Linked DNA regions of Caenorhabditis elegans. The protein of the gene in region 1 interacts with the protein of each later gene in a pairwise test. Each region holds a gene or a part of one and is shown on either strand. Other genes may lie near its edges. The genes, in order: bath-30 and mau-8.

The links.
Region 2: the proteins of bath-30 (region 1) and mau-8 interact in a two-hybrid assay, tested with the Caenorhabditis elegans proteins (one large-scale study listed by BioGRID).

What each region holds. Positions count from the first base shown.
Region 1 is NC_003280.10:3,339,552-3,355,939, forward strand, and holds bath-30 (BTB domain-containing protein), read right to left. Parts: upstream 6,828-16,388; 5' UTR 6,821-6,827; coding exon 6,699-6,820; intron 6,650-6,698; coding exon 6,253-6,649; intron 6,207-6,252; coding exon 6,059-6,206; intron 6,016-6,058; coding exon 5,738-6,015; 3' UTR 5,667-5,737; downstream 1-5,666. Other genes in the region: F14D2.5 (BZIP domain-containing protein), read left to right, coding at 1,025-1,138, 1,412-1,513; F14D2.11 (Ubiquitin-like domain-containing protein), read right to left, coding at 1,828-1,910, 1,967-2,393, 2,443-2,520; F14D2.15 (BTB domain-containing protein), read right to left, coding at 2,842-2,964, 3,011-3,162, 3,216-3,354, 3,401-3,608, 3,663-3,827, 3,874-3,986; bath-28 (F-box domain-containing protein), read right to left, coding at 4,235-4,432, 4,474-4,981, 5,029-5,106, 5,164-5,268, 5,343-5,383; F14D2.14 (FBA_2 domain-containing protein), read right to left, coding at 7,269-7,518, 7,569-7,675, 7,731-7,814, 7,863-7,964; F14D2.8 (F-box domain-containing protein), read right to left, coding at 8,023-8,305, 8,364-8,456, 9,182-9,406, 9,454-9,560, 9,608-9,697, 9,754-9,789; bath-29 (BTB domain-containing protein), read left to right, coding at 10,708-10,829, 10,878-11,274, 11,321-11,468.
Region 2 is NC_003282.8:13,363,605-13,379,992, forward strand, and holds the start of mau-8 (Phosducin domain-containing protein), read left to right. Parts: upstream 1-14,411; 5' UTR 14,412-14,420; coding exon 14,421-14,620; intron 14,621-14,676; coding exon 14,677-14,878; intron 14,879-15,730; coding exon 15,731-15,910; intron 15,911-16,388. Other genes in the region: srsx-25 (G-protein coupled receptors family 1 profile domain-containing protein), read left to right, coding at 1,565-1,750, 2,227-2,384, 2,842-2,939, 2,989-3,132, 3,452-3,573, 4,103-4,218, 4,669-4,777; agt-1 (Methylated-DNA--protein-cysteine methyltransferase), read right to left, coding at 4,920-5,117, 5,386-5,520, 5,571-5,714, 5,758-5,808; rplp-2.2 (Large ribosomal subunit protein P2), read right to left, coding at 5,934-6,074, 6,428-6,562, 6,620-6,676; popl-7 (Protein kish), read left to right, coding at 7,105-7,128, 7,188-7,297, 7,367-7,469; Y62E10A.24 (Ribonuclease P protein subunit p20), read left to right, coding at 7,474-7,586, 7,646-7,925; Y62E10A.6 (NADPH:adrenodoxin oxidoreductase, mitochondrial), read left to right, coding at 8,395-8,503, 8,564-8,679, 8,837-8,913, 9,903-10,263, 11,601-11,741, 11,793-12,014, 13,314-13,664.

The DNA.
Region 1 (16,388 bases):
TTCTTTATTTGGTATTTTCTAATTTAAATTTGATTCATCTGAGCAGCTAGCTTTTCCAATATTTCAAAAGCAATTTTTCTGATGCTAATTTTCAATTTTTTTACCGGAATTTGAGCCAAACTTTGAACGGTTAGTATAGATTTTTTGTAATTTATTCGTATCTTTTTGTTTATTCTTCCTATGTATTACGTATTTATTTTCTCTGTCTGTATACTATTCTGCTTTTATTCCATCACGGTTTCAATCGTAATAAATCAAAAATCAATTTTTTGTATTTATCTACTGTTCAGACCTAAATGAATAAATATATGAAGTTTCAAAAAATTTGGGTGTTTGTGATTGAAAAAATGGTTTTTCTAGAAAATGGAGAAAAGTTTCATTTCCATGGGTACATCTAATTTTTCATGCCTGAAATTTCTTAAAATTCAGATGGCTCGGTTCGTTTTTCGACTATGAGTTGTCAAAATTTATATCAAGGAAGCAAACTACAGTTATGTAGGTAATTCGATTTTTTTTTTCGTTATGACAGTTGTACAAAAAGATTAATCAAAAAAAATGAACCGAGCCATCTTCACTTTAAGAAATTCTAGGTATACAAATCCGTTAAATGCTATTTGGAAATTGAAAACTTCTGTATCATAATGGCAATGTCCTCCTATAACATCCCATGGATTCACCCTCTGAAAAAGTTTACCCCAATCCGATTTTCCCTAGGATTTGTTCACAGTGCACAGTGCGCACGGTGCGTTCTTCTCATCTTGTTACGGGGATAGGGACACTTCCCTCTTTTTCTCTGGTGTCTCTCATCGGCCGTCTTGGGTGATGTCTTCAATCGATATGTGTTTTGCCGCATTAGCTTTTTTCCAGAATTTTGCTAATTTATTTAGTTTATTTGTGCCTGTGCTTTTAATTTTTATTTGTATTTGATCGTTTAGCATCTTTTCTCTGAACTATTCGCTTCTAGTCAATACTATGCTCTTTTTTACTTACTCATTGCATTTTTCAGCTCAACTTGGTGTTCACCATGTTTGAAACTGCCCAGAAGCGAAGAGATCGGAGAAATGCCGCACATATGAACGAGGTGATGAGGCAAAGAAGGCTGGATAGAGAAGCGGCTGCACGTCAAGGGCTTCCACTGGTAAGTATGTATTTTTCCCGTACTTTTGAATTTTTGAGGAAAAAACAGCTGAGCTTTTGGTGCATTTTCTGCAATTTTTAAAATAACTTTACGGTTAAGATGGCATATTTTTCTGGTTTATTTGACTTTTGATTTTGATTTTGAAAACTCAAATTATAAGCTTTAGCCATTTTTTGTTGAAAAAAACTGCATTTTCTTTAAGTTTCGAGGCTTTTTTTAAAATAAAATTACATGTACTACTTTTCGTTAAAAATTTGAAATTTTGTTTTCCAGGCTCCCCTGAAATCCAGCTCCAGCACCGGTGCCAGTGGCTCCAGCTCCGATCGCTCCTCGCTCGCCAATCTTGACGCGCTCGCGCACCCGTCAACTCGCTGAAGCTCGTCAAGCTGCTGAAGTCGACGTGAAGCCGGTCCTGCTCCACAAAAGGTAACAGTTTTCGTACTAAAAGTTTCATAAATTTGCCAATTTTTCAGAGAGCCTCGCGATGATGGTGGTGATGGAGGATCGGGAAGTGGAACGGCTTAGGACTCTCTTGTGCTATATTTTATTTTGAATGAAAAATTGATTTTATGCCCGGCTTTTTGTTTTTTTCGTTACTAACTGAATTGCATATTTTTTGAAATTTATTATCTTGAAAAAATTAACAGATACAGAAAAAAACAAACTGTCGACGAATTAAATCAGAAAAACTATATACGAAAATGCAGATCCATCGTCGAATTGTTGCTGATGTTGTACTCGCCAAAAGTGATCTGATCGGAGAGCGGCTTTCCTGAATAACAAATGGTGAACATACTTATTTAATTTTTTTAAAGAATAATTTCCTACCTCCGTAGCTCATCCGTGTACTCCTAGCATTATGACATAATTGCATTTTTCCTTGCTCAACTGTATCCGAAGCATTAACGTTAAGAGTGCGAGTTTTTCCATTTAATCGAACAAAATACTGGAACTTTGGCATGGAAGAATTTTTCATCTTTGTATTCTTTACTTGAAGACATCTTTTACGTAGCATCTCATTTAGCGATAGTTTTCTGTCATCTTTCACTTCATTTTCCTTTACAGTAGTTGCTTTCATAGAATCCACTTCCTTTCGAATAGCTCCAACTTCTTCCAGCAATTTTTTCTGATTCTTTTGAATTTTGTGGAGCTCGTCGAGAATTGAAGTGTTAATCTCGTCCTGAGCATCTTGTCGCTTTGAAATCTTCTCGCAACATTTTTGAACTTCAATCAATCGATATTCTAATGGCGAAGTCTGTAAAAAATGAAGAATTTAAATTTAAATCAATCCGAATATAACTAGCCGTGAGTGAAGAATGACTTTTTGAAGATTCCTGGCGAAGTTTTTGAAATTCAGACATCAAATCTTGCTTTTCAGTCATTTTTGCGGAGGATCGCTGAAAGAACTTTCAGTTATTGAGAATTGCAAAAAAAAAACGGAAAAAAATGTTTTTTACTACGGTAGATTCCCGAATGTGCAGTGTGTACGTTACAGTCACTATATTTGACGCGCAATTCTTGGAGTACGGTGGATTTTTTGCTTTGAAATTGAAAGTTTTTTCCTGATATTTTCGGATAAACTTGCTTTTTTTCCGACAAAAATTCAAATTCCAAGCTTCTAGTAGTTCAAATTTCTCTGTAATGTCGAAGAGTGATCATTCATTAAAACATTGGAATATACATTTAAAAATCGAGGGAAAAAATCAATGAAATTGCAAAGATCTTCGGAAAAGCTCGACTATTGCAGTATGATGAATGGTGAGAACGTCCGGTGGAAGCATGAGACGAAGAGCCGTCGATGTTTTGATGTTTTCAACGCAATTCTTCTGAAAATATCGATTTTTCATTGAAAATCCCATAGAAATTACTAACATTAAGCTTCTTCAAATGGAATTTATTAGATAACTCGAACAATTTTCTTATTGATTTGCTCGATTTATCGATTAAAAAGTTCTCGCAAGCCGTAATAATTCTCTCCGTCTCGAAAAATTTACCGAGAAGCAGGATTCCTTCGACGAAATTATCTGAAAATTGGGGGAAAATTATAGATTTTTTGCGATTTTTCTGCAAATCACACCATGAATAGTAGAAAATCCGTACAAAATTTCCAGATATTTCTGAAAATCATCTGTATCCACATCGGGAAGTTGAATTTCTGAATCCAATGTACATTCTTTGAGGAGATTTTTAAAATATGGAGAATGCAGAGCGAGGTGCTGAAAAAAAACAATTTTTTTTCGATTAATTGGAGTAAATCGATACCTGTTTCAGAACATAAAACCTCTGTCCTCTCACAATAAGCACTGTATCAGCGAACCGTCTAGTGACGTCACTACCGAAATCCACACGCTTCTGGAAATCATGATAGCCGGTCATATCGATAATTTCCACGTGTCCTTCGATGGAAAGGTATTTTGAATAATCCAAATTGCTCCATTTGAAAGATTCGCAACGATTGGAAGTTGACGGTCTGAAAATTTGGAAAATCAGCTATTTTTATAGATTTTCCGCAAAAAAAAACTACATTTCAGCATCGCTTTTGCTTCCAGAAAACTTGAAATTCTCTGAAATTACTCCATGATCCGATTCGACACGAACATTGAAGTTTCCATGAAAATTAGTGGATCCCGTTCCACTTTTTCCCAAATCTACGTAGAGAAATTGATCATCACGAGTTACGCGCAGCCACCTGGAAATAAATTCGTTAAAAATCGATTTTTAGGGGAAATTCCAACCATTTAATACCGAAATGATCCTCCTCTTCACTAGTATAATGCTCTGTTTTCTTCATGAGCCAGGTTTTTTTTAAATTGAATCGCAGGACGAATTCCTTTTTTGAATTGCTCATTTTGTGACGGAGATCTGAAAAATAATGGTTTTTAGCTAAAAATTCAATTTTTCCGATTAAAAATCGCAGAACTTTTTTTGGTTCTTATGAGGAAAAGCCTGGAAAACTGATATTAACTTTAAAAATAACGCAGAAAAATATATCTCATCGAATTAAACAATAGTATTTTAATATAAATATTTCTACAATTTTTAACAACAAAGAGTATTAATTTTCACTCAAGAATTAACAAAATAACAAGGTTAAGATTAACAATTTTTCTTTTCGACTTTAAAAAACTCTTTGCAGATTGTCAAAAGGAATTCATCGCCGTGGAACTCCTTAATATCAGAAGTACGAAGATAACCAAAATCGTAGACTGGGACGAAAACTCTCGCAACTTCCGGTTGAATTGATTGATGAGCCCAAATTACGCCGCTTTTGAAGTGAGGAATATTCATGATGATCTGAAATAACATATAGATAATTTTCAGATAATCGATTTTGCCTGCTTCCACTGTTCCATCTCGAATAAGTCAGTTAATCGATAATTTCGTGTGAATGGCGTGTTCGCGAGATGCAAGTACCACGAAATATCGATTTCCTCAAGAACACCTGGTTTGAAGCGGGACAGGAGGAAAATGAAATCGCTGAGCTCGAATCCGGATAGCTTGAGCATTTTTGTGTGAATCGGGTTGCTTGCTTCGAACCACTTCACAATATTTCCTTGTTCCATGGTAGCGTAGATCACGAGCTTGTCCAGCTGAAGTCTAGGATTCTTCAGCACCACAGCAAGCTCATCCAAAAGTCCATTCAAAGAAGTAAACTCAGATTTTTCCGAACGCTTTGTGCCTTTAATTATGCCTCCAGAAACCGTCATACTGTAGAAAGAAGACTGACTATTCGCCCAAAGCAAGCACATATCATCAGTGACGCGAACCTCGACGGTCTTGAAGCCTGGATCGGTGGAATCGATGGCATCGCGCAGTTTACGGCACACTTTGCGGACGGAAAGTCTGAAATTACTATTGATTCTATAAAAATCCATAGTATTTGATTGTACCGATTGAATGGATCCAGATTTTCCACAATTTTGCCGAGCACTTCCATTGACATATCCGACAGAGTTGGAGGTTCTGAGCTGAAATTACAAGAATTTAGGTATAATATTGATTTTTTTAAATGGATATTTACATACAAGAATGTTTCCGGCGCCGTTTCCATCGACAAATCGGATAGCGAAGAATCGTCGGAACTATTGATCGGATCCAGATTGTCAGGAATCAGCGTTGGCGCGGAGGAGCTGAAATTAAGACAAATTTTAGTTTAAAAACTGTTTGGAAAATTTTTCACCGGTGAGCGGTGAAAAAAACGAACATTTTAATCGAATCCAACACGTTCGCCAATTTATCCGCCATTTTCCGAGCGATTTGGTTGAAATTTGTAGTTTTCTGAAAAATAAGTGAATTAAAGTGTACAATTTCATTGAAAAATTCTTTGAAATTCGCGAAAAATGAAAAAGAACTCAAAAAACAACAAATTATCGGAAAACTTGCTCACACTAATCGTCAAATTAAATGCCAGGTACGCAGTTGTGTATTGCGTACTTCACCGTCTACCGTAGTCAGATTAAATAGTTTTTTTTTGATATTCAACTAAAAAACCGTTTAATAAAACGAGATAAAAGCCAACAAAAAAATTAAGAAGCACTAGAATTTATTAAATGGCACATCTGAAGCGAGTAAAATGGATTTTGTTTGATAAAATACATATTATTTCATTAAAGTGAGTGATTTTGTGAAAAGAGCCGCCAACGTAGAGTGATCGATGCTGGAAATGTCCGATGGGATCATAGAACGAAGATCGAAGGGAGATTTGATCATTGAAATGCAGAATTGTTTCAAATTCTCCAAATTAAACTTTATCGCCATTTGTAGCTTCTTCTTGTAGGTTTTTCCGGTGGTTTGAATGAGAAAATCCTCGCAAAGCTCGGAGACAAGCGGCGTTTGGTACATATCAGCCAGCAAAAGGATTCCTTCAACAGTATTATCTGAAAAAAACTATTATTTCAGTGAAAAATCAATAGTTTTTACCATTAATAACCGGAAATCCGTACAAAACTTCGAGAAATTTCTGAAAATCGTCTACATCAATGTCGTAGAGAGGCACTTCGGTAAGTTTCGCCTCGTAGAAACCGCCGAGGAACAGGGATTCGAAGAAAGTTGAATGAAAGGCGAGGAACTGGAAATTATTTTGATTTTAACGTTAAAATATTCAATTTTTGAACTTTTTTCAGCAAATAAAATCGCTGTCCATCCACCAAAACCACAATATCCGAGTATTCTTTCTTTTTCTCATCGAAATTCATTAATTTCGGCGTATAAAATCCAATTGATTTATTAATAATTACACGGGCTTCTACAGTGATACTTCCAGCATCCATAAAGCTTGTTTCCAGCTCATTCCAGCTAATAAACTCGCTCCAGCCGTACGAGGAGTAGAATTTTCCAGAATCGTGTCCAAAACACATGTCTGTCTTGCATTTTTGATCCCTGGTGTCAGAGTAGACTGAAATAAGCTTCAGCTCAAGCTCCGTGAACATTGACCACATTTCCTGGCCTTTAAGTTTCCTACATCGGAGATAAATGCCGAGATTTCCGTTGTTTCGCTGAATTTGGAAGATCCTGAAAACATATTTTCACAATAAATTAATTTTTTCTTGAATTTAATTACCACGGAACATTGAAATATTCCTCCACTGTGCTGATTCTCATATCATTTTCATTCATATTTGATACATCGTTAAATACATAACGGATCACGAACTCCTTGCCAGTGACTGAGCTTCGGCTCATTTTCAGTCTGAAATTGGTATTTAAATGGTGCGAAACAGAGCATTTTTGTTTTACAATATGATTTTGTTAAGTTTTAACAATTAATTAAATAGAAAACTATTGAAAACAAAGGAAAACGAAGCGAAATGGAAATTCAAAAAATAGATTTTCGAAAACTTGTTTCACTGACTACGGTAGATTTTCGTTTCTGCATAGTGTTTGCGTCCTACACACTGGATTTCACGCGCATTTCTCGCACTGCGGTAGTTGATTTTTAAAATTAAAATTACACTTTTTTATGTGAAAAACAACGTAAAATGTTCGTGTAAAAGCTCTATTCGTCCCAATAAGCCCAACCAAAATTTTACTGGCCGTTTTCACTTTCATAAAGTACTTCAACACAACAACTTTATTCAACAAATCAACAAAAGAAAACAAAATAACAACAACAAAATTAGAAAAATCCAAATCAGTCAGAATCTGAGTTGTATTGATATTCATATTCGTCGTCAGAAGAATAGTCGCAATCTTCATCTGAATCGATGTCAGTCCAGATCGGCCAATCTTCCTCAAAATCGATATCTTGAAGATTCGACGGAATAACTCGACACGAGACTCCCCATTCGAATTCGAAATCGTCCCTGCAACACTTCTTGACAAGAATTTGCTTGGCAAGGTTGTCGGTGCGAAGTCTCAATCCTTGATGGTCTTGGAAATTTCTGTAAAATAGAAAATAATATATAAACTGTTGCACTAATGGAAGACTCACACAACACGGTCTTTGAAACAACTATTGACCAACGACATTACGTGGTCAGGTTCGTACGATCCTTGTCGGAAACGAGTTCCAATTGCAGAATCACCCGAGATGAGCCGCTGAAAGTGATTTTGATTTTTATTAATTTTTCCATCAAGAACCAATTAACGATACCTCAATTTGAAAGTTCATAAGCAATTCACGTGAGCCGTACATGCCGCCAACTGTTGAGATTGTCACCTGCTTGCAGTTCACAATCTGAAACATTTTACAGGTGAAATTTCGTTGGAAACTGGAACGACCTACAATTGGATTTTCGACAAGCTCCTTCATATCAGTCGTTTCGTTGTTGTAGTGAATAATCTCGACAGATTCGAGCCCATTGCACTTGTTCAGAACATAAAGCATTTCGCTTGTGTTATTCGAATCGAGCTTCAAGAACTTGACATTCAAAGATTTTTGGTTCCTATAACGGGGCGAGCACTTCGTTGATTCCTTTGTCTGAGTCTGTTTGGATGTAGAGCTTCTGCATGGTTCCGACATTGACAGCATAGAGAAGACGTGGAATAACATGGCTTTTGACAACAGATTCGGTGTCGCACACATCCAATTGAGCATTCTCCTTGTCAAGAAATGTAGCTACAAGACTTTTCGAATATCCTAAGATTTCGAAATATACTTGATAAAAGTGAAGCTTCTCAGAGCCCACGAGATTTTTTTCTTCACTGGCAGTGTAGCGGAGGTTGAATCTGAAAATTATTAAAAGAATAGAAATTTACAAGATTTTCAATTAGGAAAGTGACTTACCTCGTCTCGAAATCCATTTTTTGAATGCATTGAAGTTTGAATTCCGGCGGCAAATCACACCAATTCGTTTCGTACTCCGGTTCGCCCATTTTACTGGAAAATCAATAATTTATAATTAATTGGTGTTTTTAGAATAACAATAAAAGCAAAAAAAATAACGTTTTCGCACAATTTTCAACCAGGATTCTGAAGAAAAAGGTGAAAAATAGTCAATGTACCGTACTCTACGAAACTTCTAGAAGTGCGCGTGAGATGTGATACATTGTGTGCGAACACTTTGCGGACATTGCGTTCTACCGTAGTCTTCTCAATTTCGGATTTGGAAAACTCTAATGGTGCGTCCATAGTCTGCGGAAAACGGGAATTTCCCGCGTGCGGAAGCGTCCATAGTCTGCGGAAAAACCGGAGTTCCTCGCTTTTTTTTCCTCAAAATTCAAAAAAGTAGGCGTGGCAAACCAATCAGCTGTTGTTTCTTGTTTTCCCATTGCTCAGTTTAAAATTTTACAGCCTCTAATTGGTTGAACACGCTCACTATTTTGAAATTGACCAATAACAAAGCGAGAAACTCCTTGTTTTTTCCGCAGACGCTTCCGCACGCGGGAAATTCCCGTTTTCCGCAGACTATGGACGCACCATAAATCGATTTTTGAAGGTACAAAAGAGCTGAAGTGAAACAGTATTTCGAAGAAAAATTAACGAGATAACAAATGATGCTTTAATGGAAAACAATAATTCAAAACAATAACAAGATTAATTAATCAGGTAACCATAGCCATTCTTCTTAAGAAAATAGTGAATGATAGCTGTTCGAGTCATACCAGTCATCCCATTCATCATAATTTCTGATCGGCTCTCTATCCGCATCGGGGTCGTTATCATTCCAGCCTGGCCACACGGCAACAAATCCAGTTTCGTGAAGATCCGAAGGAATGACTTGACACAAAATTCCCCACGCCTTTGAATATCGATCGCATTTTGTGAGAAGAATGTGTTTGGCAGGATTATTAGTTTGAAGTCTCAATTCGTCGTTTTTCTTGAAATGGCTGTAAAAAATCAGTCATTTTAATGTTCGGCATCAGGGAACACTCACACAACACGATCTTTGAAATTTGTGCTCATCATATCCATACATTGATCGGCATCCCATTTTTTGAATCGATAATTTATTCCAATTGTTGCATTATTCGAAATCAAACTCTGAAAGTAATATTTGTTGGCCTTGTTCGCAAATTGTTGAAACAAACCTCAATCTGATAGTTCACGAGTAAATCCATATTTTCTGGGTTGACGGGATAGTACCATTTAGAGAAAGCCACATTTTTGTAGTTGGAGACCTAAATGATAATAATTATTATTTGCAAATACAATGGAAATCGCTTGTCGAACTAACAATTAATGCTTCGACAAGCTCTTTCATATCATTCATATCATATTCATTTCTTTCATATCATATCGTTGTCCCTTTGGTCAGTTTCAATAGTATTCAGTTGTTTCTTGTCACATTTTTCCAAAAAGAATAGAATATCGTTGTTGCTCTCCAAGCCGAGATGAAGGTTTTTGACATTCAATGAAATCGATCCCGTAAATGGAGAAAGTGTTTCGTTTAGAAGCCGTTCGGTGGTATTCCAGATGTGAAGTTGTTGAATTTTTCCAACTTTTAAAGCGAAGAGAAGACGTGGGAGCAGTTTACGTTCACTGCACCACCCGTCAACGTGTAGATCAGCTTCTAGCTTTCCAGTAAACGTTACTTCGAAATAAATGAAATTCCAATTGATTTTCATCAATTCAAATGAGATCTTCTGGGAGTCCACGAGGCGCATCTCTTCGCTGGAAGTGTATCGCAGGTTAAATCTGAATATAATTTTTAATAAGTTATTTGGTGAAATTTAGATAACCTCGTTTCGAAATCCATTTTTTGAATGCATTGAAGTTTGAAATCCGACGGCAACTCGGGCCAAAGTTCGAACTTATCCAGTTCGGTCATTTTCCTGAAGAAAAAATAGATTATAAACGTATTTTTAAGGAATAAATGTCAGGTTTTAAAACGTTTCGCAATAAAAATTCGGCCAAAAAACGATAGCTTTAATCGGAAAATGAAAAAAAAAACCAGTTAAAAAATTTTATAAATAAAAATACCGTAGTGCGAGAATTGCGCGTGGAGTGAAGTGTGAAGGACGCAAACACTTTGCAGAAACAAAAATCTACCGTAGTCAGTGAAACAAGTTTTCGAAAATCTATTTTTTGAATTTGAATTTCGCTTCATTTTCCGCGTTTTTTTTCAATGTTTTTCATCTAATTTTAATTTGAAATTTAACAAAATTTTAAACTTAATTTCAGGCTGAAAATGAGCCGAAGCCAAGTCACCGGCAAAGAATTTGTGCTCCGTTGTGTATTTAACGATGTATCAAATATGAATGACAATGATATGAGATTCGGCACAGTGGAGGAATATTTCAATGTTCCGTGGTAATTAAAATCAAGAAAAATGAATTTATTGTGAAAATATGTTTTCAGGATCTTCCAAATTCAGCGAAACAACGGAAATCTCGGCATTTATCTCCGATGTACGAATCTCAAGGACCAGGAAATGTGGTCGATCTTCTCGGAGCTTGAGCTGAAGCTTGTTTCAGTTTATTCCGACACCAGGGATCAAAAATGCAAGATAGACATGTGTTTTGGACACGATTCTGGAAAATTCTACTCCTCGTACGGCTGGAGCGAGTTTATTAGCTGGAATGAGCTGGAAACAAGCTTTATGGAAGCCGGAAGTATCACTGTAGAAGCCCGCGTGCTTATTAATAAATCAATTGGATTTTATACACCGAAATTAATGGATTTCGACGAGAAAATGATGGAATACTCGGATATTGTGGTTTTGGTGAATGGACAACGATTTTATTTGCTGAAAAAGGTTTAAAAATTGAATATTTTAACGTTAAAATCAAAATAATTTCCAGTTCCTCGCCTTTCATTCAACTTTCTTCGAATCCCTGTTCCTCGGCGGTTTCTACGAGGCGAAACTCGCCGAAGTGCCCCTCTACGACATTGATGTAGACGATTTTCAGAAGTTTCTCGAAGTTTTGTACGGATTCCCGGTTATTAATGGTAAAAACCATTGATTTTTCACTAATGGGGTTATTCAAGTAATGTCGGAAAATTAAAAAGTGTATTTAAATACATATTTTGCCTTATGGGGTTATTCAAGTAATGTAGCAAAATGTATTTAAATACATTTGTGACGTCACAAATGTATTAAAATACATGTTTTTATGTATTTTAATACAGTTGTGACGTAATTTTTCTACACTTTTTAATTTTTCTACACTTTTTAATTTTCCGACACTACTTGAATAACCCCATTATTCAAGTAACAATAAAAACATGTATTTAAATACATTTGTGACGTAATTTTTCGACATTTTTCGACATTTTCCTACACTTTTTTACAGTAGTAAAAAATCGCGAAAAGCGCTCGAAATGGACAATCGCGGCGGGACCCATTCGATGAACAGTCGGTGTCCCTTTAACAATCGATATTGCGGAGGCCTTTTTCAGGGATTTTTTCGATTTTTTCATATATTTCGTTTGTTTCTCTTTAAAATCAGTTATAAAAAATTAAATATTGAGTTCTTCTTTCAGAATACAAGCGATTTTTACCAAAATTATAGGTTTTTACTGCCAAAATTAGCGAAAATGCCTGTTATTTAGCGAAAATGTCTAATACTTCATTTTACAATTTTACCCACTTGATTCTTGTTTCATTCTGTTTTATTTTGAAGAAAAACTTATTTTAATTCAAAAAACTTTTCAGTAATCGTCCCAATCAACAAGCTCACTCTTCAACAGTCCGAGATGCTCAACGCGTGTGCTCAATATGCTCAAACGGGATCACAGAAGCTCACTCGAGAAGCTAACTACGTTATCACGGAGGTTAGGTTGTTTTAAAGTTTCTAAACTCCTGTTTAGTTAACATTTAAATGTTTCAGATAATCTCTCTCTCGGGCACTCAACATGGCTTGTGTCTACATCGGTCGTTTCCCAAATAGAGCATCCGATCATGATGCCGAGCACTTCTTCTGCGGATATGAAAAGCTGCCTGATGCCATAATGAAGAACGTATTTGGTGTTGGTTATAAGATAACTATTCTCATCAGAAACCCTCTAGAATGTTATAATTTCAGGATTTTCAAGATCAGAGCGATGCTGACGACATCATTTGTGATGAGCAGACAAGAATTTTGCTTGTGGAGAACGCGAAGGAATACCCAACAATTAATCACGATTAGCTAGCTTGCTAGCTCACAGATATGGGTAAAAACGATTTCGTACAATAAATTGAATCAAATATATTAATTTTCAGAAGCTCAATGGCAGGTTGGCTCCGTGATCGGCTGGTCCCTTCGATGTCTGATTGCAGTTCATTGCTTCAGAGAGCAGCGGCGATTTTTCACTCTTCTTGGAACCGCTCAAAGCCATGGAATCTTCCCGAAATAATAAAAAATTGTTTTTTGAAATAAAATCACTTCAATTTTGAAATAAAAAAAATTAGCATTTCTTTTAACAATGTATTCATTCCAGATTTCAAATCAAAGATCAAGAAGGTATTTCTTCAAAGCCGTTCTCTGCTGCTCTGCAGTTCTGTACGGATCTCTAAATTTTGGACGATTTGGGTCGTCGGGAATGACCTCGAGAGGTCCGACAGAGATGTTGTGGACCACACAGACAGCAATGATGAGTGCCTGCGACGTTTTCGGCTCGAGCCTCAGATTTTGCTGGAAGATGTGGAATTTCGAAGTCAATACTCCGAAAACGTTTTCGACTTTAACTCGTGTACCGCTCAGCTTGAAATTGAAACTGATATTCTCTTCTGGATTCAGACCAATTTGGGTTGGCCTATATGGTTGCATCATCGACTTGTGGAGACCGAAACCATTATCCGCGAGGATGAATGGTGGCATCAGGACGTTGGGATCAGGAAGAGTACGATAACCGACATTTTCAATTGCCTTGGTCAAGAGCCTGGGAAGAGGACCATTTTGGTACAGTTGTGCGTCAGAATTCAATCCGTTCTTACACATCTGCACAAAAAGGATTCTGTAATCCGAGTCGGACACAATCAATGAATTGAAAGAGAAGAACCCTTTATAGTTGTAATTCAGGGCTCCGCTCTTTGGAGGGTGCTCGCATCTCCAATGCTTCCCGTCGACAATACCGTAGCACGGCATTCGTCTCTCCTCCCCATTCGAATCTTCCTTTTCATAAAACTTTTTCGTCATCGTTTCAATCTCATCGCTAGTTGTTGGGAACTTGATATATTCCGAAGAAACCCGAACTAGATCATCGATAACTCCACATACAATTCTTGAGATTGTCGGCTGGGAAAGACCATGCATTTTGGATATCTCGTTCTGGGTGTTACCTGTGAGAAATTTTTATGAATGTTCAAATGCCTTTGCGCGTGACGGATGAGAGTTAACAATTTTTTGAAAACTGAAATGGTGATGCCTAGATGGAGTTTCATCATTCCATCGTCACTCAGATAGTCATCTACATTGTCACGGAAAGTTCTGAAATTTCGAACATCAACAATTTTCTTTGTAGTACGATTGATGCAGAGTTTTTCTTTCTTTGCTTCATTATTGTTCAGAAGCGCAAAATTTCTGCGAATAATGATGGGAATCTGAAAATTAGACGGTTCAACATTTTTCAGGTTATTGTTTTCTCCATACAATGATTCCCAGCTTTTTCTTCTTACGGGACGTGATTTCTCGACTGGAAGGTGCCATCTGAAAATCAGCTTTATTCCTATCTCAAAGGCAGTGTGATATTATGCGAGCACAAAATTTTGAGAGTGCGTATTGCACAGCCCATCTGACGTGCAAAATATTTTGTAGCGAAAGCTACAGTGATTTTTTTATGGACTACTGTAGCTCTTGTGTCGATTTACGGGCTTTATAATCGGAATGAATTTATTTTTGTACAGTGACAGCAATATCCCATTTTACTTCGTCATTTCGTATTATTTTCTCATTTTTTGCTTAATTTTGATATTCTATAGATAAATAAATTTTTAATTCATTTTGAAATCCGAGCCCGTAAATCGTCACAAGCTCTACAGTAGTCATTTGAAGAATTACTGTAGTTTTCGCTCCGAGATATTTTCCGCGTCAAATATGTTGTGCAATACGCATTCCCTTTTTTGTGTTCACAATAATTTCTGTCCTCCGATATTATTCCAATTGAAAACAAGTTTTCTACAGTACCTTTCCCATAATATTGATTGATATAGAAAGCAAATTTCAAAATTACAATTTATGCCACAACAGAAAACAAAACAAATAACACTTTTAAAATGAAAGTGATAACAAAAGCAAATAATATGCAAAATATACGATTCTACTCTTTTTTTAACTGATACAAAGAGTTTGAATCTCTACTGTAAGAAAAATGGCTCAAATCATGAAGATCAGAATTCTGAGATGAAGATGATGAAGAAGCATTACACTGAGACGACGAAGGTATATTTGGATATGGAAACGGTGGGTCTTGATGATACTGAGGACATTGTGGATAAGTATTATAGTGTTGTGGGTGTGGAACAGAATAATAACTCATTGGCTGCGAATTAAATGAAGGAGGAGCTAGTTGGGCGGAAGCTGTCAGCGTTTTGATTCTCTTTTGCCTTGAGGTTTTCAATAAATTTCAGAACTTGGTACTCCATCAAACTGGCATCACTGTGAGATATACCATCTACACTTTTCTCAAAAGCTTGGCACACTCGGCTTCCACATTTGACATCATCATCATCTTGCTTCATAAATTTCTTCATTAAAAATTGAGCATCTTCCATTGCTTCTTCCCTCGAATAGCCACTTTTAGATTTTCTGTGCTCTTTTTTCTGATCTTTTTTTTTGAAGAGCTCGTCTCAGTTGGATGAACATCAACATCAGGTCCGGCTCCGACGATAAAGGAACTGTAAAATTGAAGTTGAAAATAATATTATAATGTCTTTTCCACGAACCATGTTGGTGCTCTGTGAGTGATATCTTCATCCATAAAGGACATCAACTCGGCATAACAGAACAGATCTTTCTTTGGTGTCACGGCGGATCCTGATGGAGCCTTTTGGATTCGTGTCAAATGAGATTTTTAGGTTGTAGCCATTTTTTTGAAAAGAGCAGCAGCAGTTTTTCCTGAAAACGAAGTCCATAAATTGCTAACTTATAATGCCTTTACCTGGAGTTCTTCCTTTTCCCATAAACGTATTGCAAGTCCTCTCGATTTCGGCCCACGCAGGCATCCCTTTCTCTTTTTTTCTGTGAAAATCCGAAACTTTTGTGTGCCACAGAAAAGGCTCGTCCGAGACAAGTCGAAGAAATTGTTCCATTTCGCTTCTTCCATACTGAATTTTTCAAATTTTAAAGAAAAAGTACGAAGAATTCTTACATCGTTATAATCATCGCCACCTTTCTGTGGCCGACCTGCTTTCACTTCAAGACCTGCTCCACGAAGGCGAACATTCCGATTTTTTAGCTTTGGCGTATCTATCGTAACTGATCCTACATCCTCATAATCAGAAAGCAATCGCTTTCTGAGTTCTTCCCTACCCGGTGACTCAAGAACTTCGTCGTCGCTATCAAACAGGCAATCAGTGATCCTTCGTTTGGGTGCTTTTGAAGCTTCTTTGCCAAAGTCAGAATCTGAGTCGGAACTCATTTCCGAGCTGTAAAACTACATCCATCGGGTAATAAATCAAAAAGAATTAGCAGTTTTTAGAATTTTGACTGCATCGGAGATAGAAAATATTTAGAAATAGAAGATTGACTGCGTAATTTGTGAACGCTCTAAATATATTGAAGAAACTGACTGAACCTGAAAAAAGAAAACGAAGAATAATTAATTAATTGATTCATTTTTTTCTTATAATAACAAGTGGAAAAATCTTAAATTTTTTAAATGCAAAACTAGAATTATAGAGATCCGACTTCTCTTGGAAAACCATACGCCAGAAATCTTCTTGAGTGT
Region 2 (16,388 bases), on another chromosome or scaffold:
TTATCATGTCCACTAAATATGAAGTGAATAGATATAAAATGAGTTCATGTAGAGTAATGTAAAATAGGTTAAATATAAGATGAGTAAATATGAGAACCTAGAGCATGGTGAAGCCGCATGATGGTCGTGTGTTCCCCAGCCTAGATTGACCAGTCTCCTCCTCTAAGAGATAGATTTCCGCAGGGAAGAGACATAGACGTGGAGAGGTTCCCACGAAGTGGGTGTGACTTCTCAGCCAGGGCTGAGCAGCCGCCCAAAAAAATCGGAAAATTTTTTTTTTTTATGGAAATTTTTTTTCGGCGATCGGCAATCGCCGATCGCTGAAACTTTTTTTTTTTCGGCGAAAATTGCCAAAAAAAAATCGGCGATCGCCGATTGCCGATTACCGATCAGTGTGCGTCTAATTTTTTTCAATTTTAAAATCCTAATTTTAAGAGCTCTTTCAAATAATTTTTTATAAAAACAGGAATATTAGGCAACGAAAAGCACTCCTTGATACCTTAAAATTCGAAAAGTAGTGAAAAATAGTCCGAAAATATACCTTTTTCCTACTTCAGAGGGGTATATCTTGGACTATAAAATTTCATCGGCGATCGCCGATCGCCGGAAAATCACGAAAATCGCCGATCGCCGATCGCCGATTGCCGCTCACCCCTGTTCTCAGCGTCGACAAGAGTTAATTTCGGGGCGCCTAGACTGGGTCGAACATCGACATGCTCACCATGGAAACCATAATTTTTTCTCTCTAAATTTCACTCCCAAGTTTCTATTTTTTTCTCATTTTATCAAAATTCCCATCGCTTTGTTTTCTCTTATTTTAGAAAATACTAGGAATCAGAGAAAAAACAGGAAGTAAAATGAATAACGCAAATAAAAACACTGTTGTATATAATTGAAAAAAAATCATAATTTGGTCACATTCATTTATTTCTAAAGTTTCTGTTCAAACATTTCATATAACGTTTTACTAAATGGCAGACGATTTTTTCCGACAAATTGGCAAACCGGCAAATTGCCGATTTGCCAAATTTGCCGGAAAAAACGGAATTTGCGGACAATTTTTAGCAAATTGTGGTTTTGCACACTTCTTTTTGGAAATTTCAGAATTTCAATTTCAATCGGCAAAATTATATGAATGTTCCTACATTTATTTCGAAAAGTAAGCAAATTCTATCAAAATATCTAAAGAAAGCGGGAAAAAAAATTCAACAAGGCACAGTTTTATGTGTTTCTGTCTTATAAAAAATCCCTCTAAACATTTCCGGCACATCTGATATCCGGCAAACGGCAAATCGGCACTTTGCCGAAATTGAAAATTTTCGGCAAATCGGAAAACCAACAATTTGTCCTTCTTTTTATTCTTTTTCAGTTCTGATCGTACATAATCCTTTGAATCAAAACCTTATCACAAAAAAAAGATGTATGAAATATTCCAGAACCAGTTGCAAATCGAGCACTTTCTCATCATTTCCGTGAGAAAACGATTGTTGCCAAGCTTCACTTCATTGCATACTCCCGAATGTCAAGCCATTTTTAGCCACTTTTTTCTTTTTGTTTTTTTACAATGAATTCCACAAAGAATCTTGTTCCAACTCCAATGATATATTCAACTATGGCATTATCAATTATAGGATTAATCGGGAATATGACTATTGTACTTGCCACTGTTATTAGTAAACGTCTCCAATCGAGATGTAATATATTAATTGGACTTTTGGCACTTTCTGATGTTGTAGTTTGTACTTATTTGGTGAGTTTTTAAAATATTCGAAATTTCAACTTTTTTTGAGCTTTTGTTTTATCCAAACGCAAAATTTTGACAAAATTGTGTTTGTCGTGTCAATCCCCGGTGCCATATTTTTGGCACAAAAGTTGCAAAATTTTGCTTCTGGGTTTGGTTTTATATGAGTATATCAGAAACCATTTTCTGCATTTTGTCGTCAACTCTGATCTCTCTAAAGCTAGAGTAAAAACTAGTCAAGAAATTGCCGTTTTTGTGGAAATTTGAATTTTTTTCAATTTAATTCAAAAATTAATTTACATACATTTTTCTGATTTTTAATTTTTTTTTTCAAAAAAAAATCGGAAAATTAAACAACATTGCGCGGGAAATGTGGTGTATTTGTGTGGTAAATCGCACTATCTGCAATTACCACCAATAAATAATATTTTACGATCGAAATATTTTTTTTTTCGAAAAAACAAAACTTAAAAATGCGTTTTCAGATTCATTTACGAGTTTTGATGTTCTTGGACATGTACATGTTGACTTCAACCCAGTGTTTCCTACTTTCTGCCTATGGTTTATTTGCTCTAAATATGCAAAGTTCATTGTGCCTTATTATAGGATTAGATAGACTTTATAATGTCACCTACCCTTTGCGGTAAGATACACAAAAAATCTCGCCACGAATAAAATATTTCGAATTTGAAGCCGATCAAAAAAAGGATGTACCTTTAATAATACAGTAACCGGTTTTCCCTTTTTGGTGTATTTTCTAAATAGTTCAAATGCTTACAGGTGGTGCCAGGCTGTCCCATTACGGTTTGATCTACAAAAAATGCGGGAATTTTTCGCCCAAAAAATATGACGTGAGCACGTTCTTAACCATGCGAAATCAGTTGAGAAGTCTGCGTCTCTTCTCCCGCATTTTTCGAAGATCTACGTAGATCAAACCAGACACTCTGACACCACGTGATGCTTCAATAAAATAAAGCTTTTGAGAAAAAAAAATTGAATGGGTTACTGTAACTCTTATAGGCGCACACTTACGCCGCCTCGAATTCGAAATTTCTTCGTTCGTGGCGAGACCAAAACTAATATATATCCCGTTCCTGCAGATATTCCCAACTTCCAAACTCATTTTACATTGCCCTTTTCCTTTTTTGCGTGGGATTTTCCGTTCTTATCACTTATTCCGGATATTCTTATGCTTCGGGTACATCAGAAAACCTAGAAACAGTGCTGTAATTAATTTTTATTTCCAGATTCAGAAATAGTTCTAGTATGCTTACCACCAACAGCTTATACCGATAAATCTAGAATTATATGGATTGGTTCGAATTTTATTATTGCAATTTTAGTCATTTTTGTGTATGGTGGTGCACAAATTCGTTGTCGGATTTTGAGAGGTTCGTTTTTTGCGTACTTAATACACCATAACTCACGCGCAATTTTTTCTCAAACGTGTGTAGTGTCAGAGTGTCTCATTTCGGCTCGATCTACGTAGATCTACAAAAAAATGCGGGAGAAGAGACACAGATTTCTCAACTCATTTCGCATGGTTAGAAACGTGCTGACGTCACATTTTTTTGGAGAAAAAAATTCCCGCATTTTTTGTAGATCAAACCGCAATGGGACAGCCTCACACCACGTGAAACAGCTCAATCCAAATCAACATTTTGAGCTTGATGTCTGCTATTCCCAAGTGCTTAAACTAGACTTTTTCAGCCCGTCACGTGCACGAACAATCTATGGATGCAGTGAATCGACTGCTTAAATCGTTGAGCATTGTTGTAACAATATATGTCTGCACGTGGTTTCTCACGATCAGTTCACTTGTTGTTTCTCAGGTACAATATTTGTTGGGAAATGTCTTCTGATTTCAGGCATAAACAATATAAAATATTACACGTAGTTCTAGCTAAAAAATACGCGAGTGCGCGTAAAATGTGATGCATTAGGTTGGTAAATCGCACAGCCACGCTATTACGGGAACACAAAACTCTGAGAATGCGTATTGCACAACATATTTGACGCGCAAAATATCTCGTAGCAAAAATACCCGCATTTTTTGAAGATCAAACCATGATGGAGCAGCCTGTCATCACGTGCAAAAGCGCTACAGTAGTCATTTAAAGAGTTACTGTAGTTTTCGCTACGAGATACTTTCCGCGTCAAGTATGTTGCACAATACGCATTCTCAGAATTTAGTGTTTCTGTAATATTTTGCAAAAACCATTGCGATGCATTCGATTTTACGCGCAAAGTTCAAAAATTGGGAAAACCAGAAATCAAATCATTATAATATAAATCGAATTCACTGAAATTGAATTTATAAACTCATTATTTTTACTCGACCAACTTTTCCCCAATTTTCAGTTGATTACCTTTTCACCGCCTGTCACCGCAGAAATTAATCGACAACTTGGCTGGCTGGTGATTATCAATGCTTCACTCAATTTCTTTGTTTATCTTTGGAGAAATTCAGAATATCGGTAAGGGAGTGTTGTATTATGGAGACGCAGAAAAATGCTATTGAGGTGCAAGAGCGCTCCAACGCTAAACGGGTCTCGTTAGGTGTTTGGCGGTAAAATCACGGATTTCTGGCTTCCCTCATAAATTGAAATGGAAGAGTTTGCCGATCTAGGCCATTTTGGCTCGGCCGTAGCCGGGGTAGATTTACGGCGCGTTGCGTGTCGCGTCGCGGTTCAATTTCAGTTGTAAAACTAAATGAATTTTTCCGTGTGGAGTACACGACTTTCCCACGTGTTATCCGTCAAGCGATTGTCAATGGAGCGCGAAAAATTCAATGGGGAAGGCCAGAACCCCGTGATTTCTGGTTTTTCCGCCAAACCTAACGAGACCCAACTCACCGTGGAGCGAGCTTGCACCTTGATTTAAACAAGAAACATTTTTTAAATCCGTTTTAAATGCAATTTTTTCAGAAAAGCATTCATCCGACTTTATGGACTTTCTCGACTCTTCAGCGTTGAAAATACCTCGATTGATGCTGCAACACGAGTAATGAAGTCTTCTCATGTTCGAGTTGCATAATATTTGTTTGTTTCAATAGTGAATTAATAAAACATTTTGAATTATCAGCAGGGGAGATCATTTGTTATGAACAGGAATCACACAGATGACTTGAAAAAAAAAGCATATCTACAGTACTACTTCAAAACAAAAAGAAGTGCATTTACATAACTGAAAATCTGAGTTCAGCGCCTTCTGCCTGCAATAGGCGACGCTTCTTCGCGATTCCCCAACGATATCCTGATAGATTTCCAGTGCTGCCGATCACACGATGACACGGAACAATGTAGGCCAAGTTGTTGCGAGCACATGCCGAGGCAACAGCTCTCACCGCCGACGGATTCCCGATTTCTCGAGCAATCTGTAAAGGGTTATTGTAAAATAAGCCATTATGAGTAATCTTAAAGGCGCAGGGGCTATTTCAGATGGGTCTCGGCACGCAAAAAGTTTATAGTATCCTTTTTTTCAATTAAATTTCTTTATTTTCAGCGAACTCTCATTTTTCAGGCCAAATAACAGGAACAACTTATATTTTTAATGAAAACAATTTTTCAAAATGAAACCATAAACTTTTTCTCGCCTAGACCCATCTGAATAAATCTGTGCGCCTTTAAGAAAGCATGGCTCACATCTGAATATGAGCGAGTTTCTCCTTTTGGGATTTTTTGAATGGCGCTGTAAACTTGCATTCCGAAAGCCGTGTCTCCTTTGTGTACCGCATTGACTTTGATCGTTGAATCAAGTGTATTCAGAGCTTGCACAATCTGAAAAGAGCCGCAATTGGATGCGCACACTTAAAATAATTAATATTTACACCGGAGCTTTGTGTTGGTTTTCCTGGAATGAAGTTAACTGTGGGATAGGCGTCATGAAGTTCCTCCATCTGATCGTCTAGATCATCATCAAGAAGATAAATCGCCACAACTTTCTGACTTCCAACACATTCAGCAATCAGAGCCTGTCAAAAGCCAGTTCAGAAATCTGGATCTCATTTTCCTCACCTGTCCCTGATCCGTCTCTACGACTTCATAGACGCACTCACGGATGATCATTTCTACTTTAATAAAATTGATGTTTTTATTCATTGGATTGCTTCTGACTTTCAGTATATAATGTTTCAAAACATGGATGTGAAGATGACCGGAAAACAATAACAATTTATTAACATACAATGATTTTAGTCGAAAAGACCGAATCCCATATCATCGTCGGATTCCTCCTTTGGCTCTTCTTTCTTGGCCGGCTTGCTGTCAGCGGCTGGGGCAGCTCCTCCGGCAGCTGGAGCAGCGGCGGCGGCTGGGGCGGCTCCTCCGGAAACCTGAAAAAGCACAATTTGAATTTTTCTTATTAAATTTGTGACCAACTTGGGCACGGTTTTTAAAAGCATGACAACAAATATATAGGCTTTTCACGCGGTTAAGCCAAGAAGACATGGAAACGGGAGTAAAAAGGATTCCTAGAAAAGGAGGTCTCCGAAAGAAATGTGTACTACGCTAATACAAGTCGAACACTTCGAAGTGTTGATGAACAAAATTTAATTTTCAAGCCGTCAAAGGCCTTTTTTTCTCAAAAATTTCCGAGTTAAGCATCGCTGAATTTTACCAGTGCAGTCAACTTTTTTAGGACTTCATAACATTGTTCGAGGAATTTCCATAAAGGTTGGATACGTACCGAAACGAGTCCAGCGGATCCCTCAGCGATGAGCTCTTCGACTGTCTTTCCTGCAAGTCTGGAGACAACGAGCTTGGCGGTCTCAGCATCAGCATCAACTCCGACAGCGCTCAAGATGTTCTTGAGGTCGTCAACCTGAAAGAACACAATTGAAATAAATGTTAAAATGTTTCAATTCCTTTTAAGAATTACCTTTGGGTTGGCATTTCCTCCGAGGACGGCGAGCAAGTAAGCCGAAACGTAACGCATATTACCTGCAAAACCATAACTTTAATTTTAAATATTTCCAGGAAAATCTGGCGATAAAAATCGAAAATTGAGTATTTGCAGATAGTTTCAGCATCATGATATGTCAAGTGAAGCGCAAATTTTTTCTGAATCGATTCAAGATAATTTTGTGAAGAAAAACGCGGAAATCGATGAGAAAAATCATAGGAAAAATCGCAAAAAAAGAAAAAATTCACTTGACCGAGAGGCTGGCCTACTGTCGAGGCGCGCGTGGCGAGACCCACTCGTCGCGAAATGTCGTGTCCCTTTAAACAGCCAACATTTGCAATGCATTGAAATTGCAGATTTTATATTATTTTCGAGGTTTTAAACTACTTTTCTTTAATTTTTCCGTATTAAACTGAGTCTGAATCAATATTTAGTGATAAATTTCAGCAAAGGCACCTTGTTTGGTTGCAGAAACAGCAAAACTGGTGAGTTTTCTTGCTGATAAATATTTCAAAAATGAAAATTCATTTCATTGTTTTTTCAGTCGGCAATCTTCAACTTCCAAAGTCTTATCTCAGTTATCCTTCTTCTCATTTGCACGTGTGCCTACATCAGAGCCTTTGCACCGAGAATAATCGATAGAAACAAGGAAGGGTGAGTGTTTTTTTTTTGTTGAAGACGCAGACTTTTCGTGGAGAAATCGAACATTCAAAGCATTTTCAGTCTCCTCGGCGTTTTCTGGAAGTGTGCTCGAATCGGTGAACGTCTCAGTCCGTGGGTATCGATCAGTTGCTTTTGCATGGCATTTGTTGTGCTGTTCCTTTAAAATAATGGCTATCCGCATGACTCCATCATCGAAACGATTCGATGAAAAAACAAACGAAATGAGGCGCCGTCCGCCTGTAAAACCAAGCAGTAATCCTAATCATATTTATATCACAAGGTGATTAATTTTTATCAATTTAGTTGTACAATTTCTCATTAAATAGTGTTTTTTTGCAGAAAAACCAACGTCGAATCACAATCAAAATCCACCGAGGAGATGTTGAATAACGCATTCGATGAAGTTTTCATCCATGGAATGGGAGCATCTATCAATAAAGCTCTAGTTTTTGCGATGGAAGTTGAGAGAAGATTCGGTGGAAGTGTCAAGTCTGATATTCAAACGTCTACTGTACAATGTACAGATGATATTGTATCACTTCTGGACCTTGATCAAAGCGAGACACGTCATCGTTCTGTTTCTGCCGTGCATGTTCATCTTTATCGTGTTGCCTCGTAAATCTTCATTCCACTGAATATATATTACACATAATTTTGTCAATGGGTCTTATTTTTTTGCCTACATGAATTAATTATTTTTTCCTTTGATTTTTTAGTTGTTCTTGGTTACTCTTTCCTATTATTTTCTACATTTTCAATCACCGAGTCGCCAAATTTTTCGATTTTTGCTCAAAAATTGCGGAATATTACGCGGAATCCGGTCTCGACACGACATTTTTTTTGTCAAATGTGAAAAGGTGTGCGCCTTCAAAAAGTACTGTAGGTTCAAACTTTCGTTGCTACGGAAAAATTTATTTATTTAATTATTTAAAAAAAAAACTAAAATTTTTAACAAAATCAGCATCAAAATTTTTAAAAATACAGTAATCTTCAAAGGCGCGCACCTGTTTACATTTATTAAAAATTTGTCGTGTCGAGACCTGATACAGTAAGCGAAATTTCGCGTCTGAATAATAAATTAATTTAAGATGTTCGGTAAAACATTACTACGAAGGATAGCCTGCTCGAATCTCAATTTAAAATCAAGAAAACTGTCCGGAAAGCCACGTTTAGCAATTGTGGGCTCCGGTCCCGCAGGTAATAATAGAACAATTTTCTGGAAATTTCGTAAACTATTTCCAAAAAAATTAAATTTAGGAATGTTCGCGTGCAACGGATTGCTTAGAAAAAGTAATTTCTCGGTAGATGTATTCGAAAATTCTCCAGTTCCATTTGGATTAGTTCGGTATGGTGTGGCTCCAGATCATCAGGAAGTGAGATTTATTCGAGAAAAAATTAAGAAAATCGGTTCTTTTGGCCACAATATTCAATTAAAAACGGAAAAATCAGGAAAAAATCTTCTCCGAATTGCATATTGGTGCCAAAATACCATTTTAACTAAAAATTATTGTGAAAATTTCAAAATTTCAGGTAAAAAACGTGATAAACACATTTGATGCAATGTTCGAAAAGAATCGTGAACGGCTGAAACTATTCTGCAATGTGAAGTAATTATTTAATTTCTCAATTATTGGAGGACTGTGTCGAGTTACGCAGCTCGTGTACTCCACGAGGAGAAGAATTTTACAGTTTTTATTTGCGAAATTCTTATAGAAAGTTTATTTTTAAAAAGTCAAACAAAAGTCAAAAAATTAAAGGAAAATTTTAAAGCCAAATTTATTAGATTTTTAAAATCTTATTCATATTTTTCAGTTCTTGCAATTAATCCAGATAAAAAACAATTAAATCCCACTTAAAATTGCATGTTTTCCTCAAATTTAGAAGCATGAAGGTTCGAAAATCTTTTTTTTTTTTTTTGAAAAAATCTCACAAAAAACCAAAATTTCCATATGAAAAGTTGGGAAAAATGTTTAAAAATCGACCTTTAGTTTCCAAAACTTGAAAATTCTTTAAAAAATTCAGTCTTCTCCTCGAGGAGTACACGAGCCGCGTAAATCGACACGTGGGGGGTTGTCAAGAGTGTCGGTTTTCGATTGTTTCAACAACAAACAACGGAAAATGCTCGATTTTTGAAAAATTGATTTTTTCGATTTTTCGATATTTCGAAAAAAAAATTTCGATTTTTAAAAACGTACACTACTTGTTAGCTTAAAACTTTGGACATTTTTCTTCTTTTTAGAGTAAATTTTAATATTTTTTCTCATCAATTTAAACGAAATTAGATTTTTAAAAAAATCATATTTTATGTTCAATTTTTCTAATTTTCTCAGAAAATTGTTCGTTTTTCGATTTTTAAAAATTCGAAATATCGAAAAAATATTTTTGAGACCCCAGGAAAACAGTATTCACATAAACTTGTAAAACTTTTTGTAAATCCTGTTTCTTGGGGTCTCAATTTTTCGATTTTCCCTCAAAAACTTCAAAAAATCGAAAAACGACACTCTTGGTGGTCGTGGAAGAGGTTTTCCACGGCCATTCTTGCATTTTCAAATACGAAAAATCATGCAATTTTTCAAATTTCATACTTTTTTTTCAGCATCGGACGAGACATTACATTTGATGAGTTAACACGTGGCTATGATGCAGTCCTTCTGGCATATGGATCATATAAAACACGAACTTTAGATATTCCTGGAAGTGATGCCTCAAATGTAATATCTGGATCAGAATTTGTTGGATGGTATAATGGAGTTCCAAATGCATCAACACCAGATCTTACAACATCAAATGTTGTAATTGTTGGAAATGGAAATGTTGCTCTTGATTGTGCACGTGTACTTTCAACAGCTTCTTCTGGATTATTAAGGATCAGTGATATTCCTGGAGATCGATTGAATGTTCTTGAAGGAGCTAATGTTAAAGATATCAAGATTTTAGGACGAAGGGGACCAGAACATGTGAGCATTCTGAAATTAAATTTTTTTTAAATATGTTAAAACAAAATTATCCACTTTTTATTGTTCCGCCTGAAATTGATCTGAAAATCTGAAAAAGAGAAAGAAAAAATCCCAAATTTTCATATTTGAAATTTCAAAAAAAAAAATTTCTGTAATAACATCGAAAATGTCCGATTTTCAAAGCTTTTAACGAATCTTTCTGATATTTCTTTTATTTTTTAATATTTTTTTACTTCGAAAATTTCTTGTTTTTCAAATTTTGTGTTAGAATACCCAAAAAACTGAACATTTTAGATTTTTAATTTTATAAAATTTCGAATTTTCTAAAATAAAATCTTTAAAAAATTACAAAAAGCGCAATTTTTTGTTTTTTTTTCCAATTTTTAATGTCAAAAATCCGAAAATGATGGTTCTTAATTTCAAGAAAAAAAAACAATTTTGTAGATTTTTCGAGAAAAAAATTTATTGAAAAAAAACATTTAAAAAATTTCCGATTTTTCTATTCCAAAAATCGAAAAAAAATGTTTTTAGGTATTTAAAAACCTTAACATTTTAATTTCTTTAATTTCATTTTTTTTTGATTTTTTGTCTATAGAATTTCAGCAAAAAAGGCTTTTTCAAAAATTTAATTTTTTGAATTTTTGGTTTTCTTAGCTTTTCGGAAAAAAACACTGAAAAATGTTTGATTTAAAAATGAAAAAATTCAGAAATTCCGATTTTCAAAAAAAAAAACCATAAAAATCGATATTCCGATTTTTCAGAAAAGCCTAACTTCCGCATCTATTTTCCCGATTTTTAGTTAAAAAATAATCAAATTTCGTATTTATTTTTTCAATTTCAAAAAACTAGCAATTTATTCATAAACATGAGCACATTTTGATTAAAATTGTTTTTTCTTAAATTGAAAAATATAGTTTTCAATTGAATTCCCCAAATATTCCCCGATGCAGATTTTGTCCCGATTTTTCGTCAAAAAAATTATTAAAAAATTCTTATTTCAATTTTGAAAAATTAGCAATTGTTGTTCGACTTATTGAAAAAAAATTATATTTAAAAAATAAGTTCAACAATATTTTTCGGTCTTTACAAAAAAATGTGATTCTTAATTTTTTTTTTTTTTGGAAAATCGAAAAATCTAGTTTTCAATTCTTCAAAATTCTCCAAATAATCCCTCCCGAGACAGATGCTCAGAATGACCCCTCTCCCCCTCATTTTATGCTTCCTTCCGTTCCATTTGAGCAACCAGACGTGGTTAATCGATTCTGCTGTCCCCCTAGGTTCTCTCCGTCTCCTTCAATGTATTCTCCTCACACATTTTATTCTCCAATTCCTTTCAGGTTTCTTTCACAATCAAGGAGCTCCGCGAGCAATTCAAAATTAAAGATTGGGACAGTAAACTGGAAATATCTGAAATTGACGCTAAAAATTTAACAGAAAGCTTACCGAAATTGGAGCGGAAGAAAAAACGATTGACCGAGGTATTTTTGAAAAAATAAATAATTTTTAGTTTAAAAAAATTCAATTTTCAGGTCCTCGTAAAAAACATTGGAATTGCAAATGGACTTCGACAATGTCACTTTATTTTCCATCGAATTCCAGAAAAAATTATTGCAGATTCGAATGGAAAAGTTCAAGAAATTATTGTAAAAAATAATGAAACTGGACAGGAAGAAACGTATCCATGTGGATTATTGATTTATTCAATTGGATATCAGACACTTGTTTTAGATGGAGTACCTCAGAATGATAAGGTATTGAGTGTGTGGAAATTTCGAGAAAAAAATTCATATGACTGAATTTTAACGTTTTTGCGAAGTTAGGAAAATCAAATTATTAGAAAAATGAAAAAAACATATTCTGGATTTTAGAAAAATCAGTAAATCTATCTCTATCAAGAAGCCGCCGAAAAAATGTCAAAAAAAGTGAAATTGTTGTCAATTTTACAGATTTCGTGTATAAAACTTAATAACCCGAGCGGAAATCGATAAAACTTTATAATTTCATATAAATTAAAAATTTTTCTTGCTGAAAATTGTCTGAAAATTTTGAAATTTCAAATCAGAAATCAGAGAAAAATCAAGAAGAGAGCAAAAATGTCGAAAAAAGTTCATTTACCATTTGAATTTTTAGAAAATTGAAGAAAAATCGTTCAATCAGTAAAAAACTACATTTTTTAAGAAAAAAAAATTCAAAAACCTCACGGCAATTTGCCGATTTGCCGGAAATTTTCAATTCCGGCAATTTGACGATTTGCCGATTTTTCAATTTGCCAGAAATATTAATCTTCGGCAAATTGCCGATTTGCCGGAAATTTTCAATTTCGTCAAATTACCTTTTGCCGATTTGCCGGAAATTTTTAATTCCGGCAGATTACTGATTTGCTGGAAATTTTCAATTCCTGCTATTTGCCGGTTTGCCGATTTGCCGAAAATTTGCAATTTGCCGGTTTGCCGGAATTTGACAATTCCGGCAATGTTCCGATTTGCCGGAATTGTTAATTTTCTCTAATTCGCCGGTTTGTCAGAATTTTCCAATTCCGGCAATTCGCCGGTTTGCCGGAATCGGTCATTTTCGCTAATTTGCCGATTTGCCCGAATTTTCCGATTCCGGCAATTCACCGATTTGCCGGAAATTTTCATTTTCGGCATATTTCCGATTTGCCGGAACTGTTCAATTAAGACCGTTTGCCGGTTTTCCGATTTGCCGGAAATTTTTATTTTCGGCAAATTGCCACTTTGCCGGAAATTTTCATTTTCGGCGATTTGTCGAAAATAAAAATTTCCGGCAATTTGCCGGTTTGCCGATTTCCGAAAATTTTAAATTCCGGAGATTTGCTGATTTGCCAGAAAATTTTTGGCAAATTGCCGGTTTCCTGGAATTTTTCAATTCCGGCAATGTGCCGATTTGCCGGAATTGTTAATCTTCGTCGATTTGCCGGTTTGTCGGAAATTTAAATTGGTTTAAATTATCTGGAAAACTATTATGACCCATAATTCCCGGATTCAAAAAAAAATCATAAAATCTCTGCAAATATATTTTTTTTATTTCAGAAAATGATAGACATGAAAGATCATTGCCGTGTAAATATGGTTGCTGCGTGTTCATCACAAGTGTATGCAACTGGATGGTGTGCTCATGGACCACATGGAATAATTGTAGACACTCAACAACAATCAATTTTTGTTGCCGATCAAATTGCCGCAGACTTTGCACAATTTAAAGATAGCACATCTAATGGAGTTGAAGAATTACTTGAAGATCGAAAAGTTCCATTTATATCATGGGATGAATGGAAACAAATTGATAGACAAGAACAAGACACTGGAAAGCTATCTGGAAAGATTCGAGAAAAGTTCACAACTTTTGAGAAATTTCTCACGAAATTGAAGAAATGCAATTAGAAAATGCCATAAATTATCGAGTTTTCTTTCACCCTTTTTTCCGGGTTTTACTGGAATTTCAGTACATTTTCTGTATTTAACTAGACACTTCTAGATAGAATAAATCTTTTTTTTTATTTTTTTATTGGATTTTTTTCCAGATTTTGGTCATTTTGCCAAATTTATTACCTTATTTGAATTATTTGATATTCTGATCCAAAAACAAATTGCATTTTAATGAGAAATTGGAAAATTCCCAGTAATTTTTGAATTTTTTTGATAAATATTTTAAAAATTTGCAAAAATATTTGAAAAAAGTATCAAATTTCTCATATATTTTCCAAAGAAAAAACAATTAATTTATAGAAAAGTCTGAAAAACGTTGAAAAAGGTAAAAATAGGAATTTAAAAATTATATAAAACGACCGATTTTTAATTGTTTTTTAAATTTTGATTAATTTGAAAAATTTAAAAAAAAACTTTTTTTTGGTATATATTTTTTTCAGATTTTGGCAATTCTGCCAAATTTATTACCTTTAATTTGTGTGATATTTCTCTAATTTTAAAAAAAGTTCCTTACGAAACTATCAGGAAATTTTACAAAAAATTTTAATTAATAAAATGCTTGAGAAGAAACTTTTTTAAAGAAATTTTCTCACCAGTAGTTTCAAATTTCTCATGATTTTTCTGAAGAAAAATTAAATCAAAATTTCTTTTTTTTTTTTCGAAAAAGATCAGAAATATAAATTTAAAAAAATATTTTTTCAGAAAACTCTAATGAATTTGGAATCACGAATTCTGGACGGAAAGCCTGCGGGTTACTGTAGCAGCTCAGAAGGTGAAGAGGACGATTTCAAAGTTGTAAACGATGAGGATGAGCATCAGGCGAATGTAATGAAGAGAATGGGACCATCTTCGAATACTGGAGCAAAAGGAGTGCTCAATGAGTTCAAAGCGTTCAGAGAACAGACTAGATTGTGAGACTATTTAAAAAATTCTTAAAAATTAAAAAAAAAATTTTGTAAATTTTCAGAGCTGTCGAATCAAAAAATCAGAAATTAATTGAGCAAGCGAAGAAAGGAATGATGATTGGATCGAAAGAAGAACGAGAAAAAGCACAACGAGAAGATGATGAAGATGAGGATTTTGAGATGACTTTGGAGGGATTAAAAGCGAAGAGACTTAGAGAAATGAGAAAAATTGCAGCAAATCGGGTTATTGAAATGACTGATAAGGTATAGGAACAATCAAAAAATACTTTTTTTTTTTTATTGTGAAAACTTTTGAAAACTTTTTAGAAAATATGGGAAAAAAAGAAAATTTCTCCAAAATGAATAAGAAAAATTGGCAAAAATTACCAGAAAACTGGAAAAAAAATTTTTTTTTCACTTTCCGAGTAAAAAATTAATTTCGAAAAAAAAAATACCAAAGATTTTCGATTTTTTTTCTAGAAAATTCAAAAGTCTCTCAATCTTTTTCTAGAAACATTTAAAAACTTGTCGAAATTTCAAAAAATCAAAATTTCTAAAAGTTTCGATATTTCCTTTTTTGATTTTTTAGAAAAAAACTTTTAAAATTATTTTTACAATTTTTAGTCGGAAATTTATTTTTTTTTAATTCGAAAAATTTCGTTATTTTTCAATTTTTTTCCACAATGACGTCGAGAAATTAATATTTTGATTTTATTTTTAAAAAATCAATTTTATTTTTAATAAAATAATAATTTTTTCTAATTTCTCGACATCGCCCCGTTGTCGTTAAAAATTCAAATATCGGCATTTTTCGAATTAAAAAAGTTGCTTTCTTTTCTTAAAAAAATCAAAAAAGGATATATCGAAACTTTTTCGATTTTTTCTCGAAAATTTAAAAAAAATCAGGTTTCCGTTTTTCGAGAAAAAAAAATTGCAAAATAATAGAAATTTTGATTTTTTTTTAAATTTCGACTAAAAATAAATAAAAAACGATTTTTTAACGGAAAATGATAAATAATGAAAACTAAAATTATTCAATTTTCCAAAAAAAATTAGCTTTTCTTCTTCATTTTATCGATTTCAAACATCCTTCAAAAATGCTCCAAGAAATTTCAGAAACAATATTCGGATGCCGTTGATGGAAGTTCATCATATCTTCTCTGTGTTCTAATATATGAGCCTGAATCCGATGAATGTGAATATTTGACACGAATCGTTAAGATTCTCGCCGCCGATTGTCCGAAAACCAAATTCGTTCGAGCGACAAGCACTCTTCTTGAAATGAGCAGAGCATTTGTATGTAATACGTTTCAGGGTCCCGACACGACAAATTTTTAGTTAAATGCGAAAAGGTCTTGCGCCTTTGAAGAGTACTGTAGTTTCAAACTTCCGAATTTTCAAAAGTTTTAAATTTTTTTTCGAAAGCACTATACACGTGATGTGAGAGTTTCTCATTTCGGCTTGATCTACGTAGATCTACAAAAATGCGGGAGAAAAGACGCAGAGTTCTCAACTGATTTCGCATGGTTAAGAACGTGCTGCCGTCACATTTTTTTGGGCAAAAAATTCCCGCATTTTCTGTAGATCAAACCGTAATGGGACAGCCTGGCACCACGTGCGTATATTGTTTCTGAAAAATTCAAATATAACAATAAAACCACATTCAATTTTGAAAACTCGTGAAAAAAAACCTATAGATATATGCAAAATCTATAAAAATTTCGGAGAAACGAACATTTGAAGTTACCACAATCTTTAAAGGCGCAGACGACAA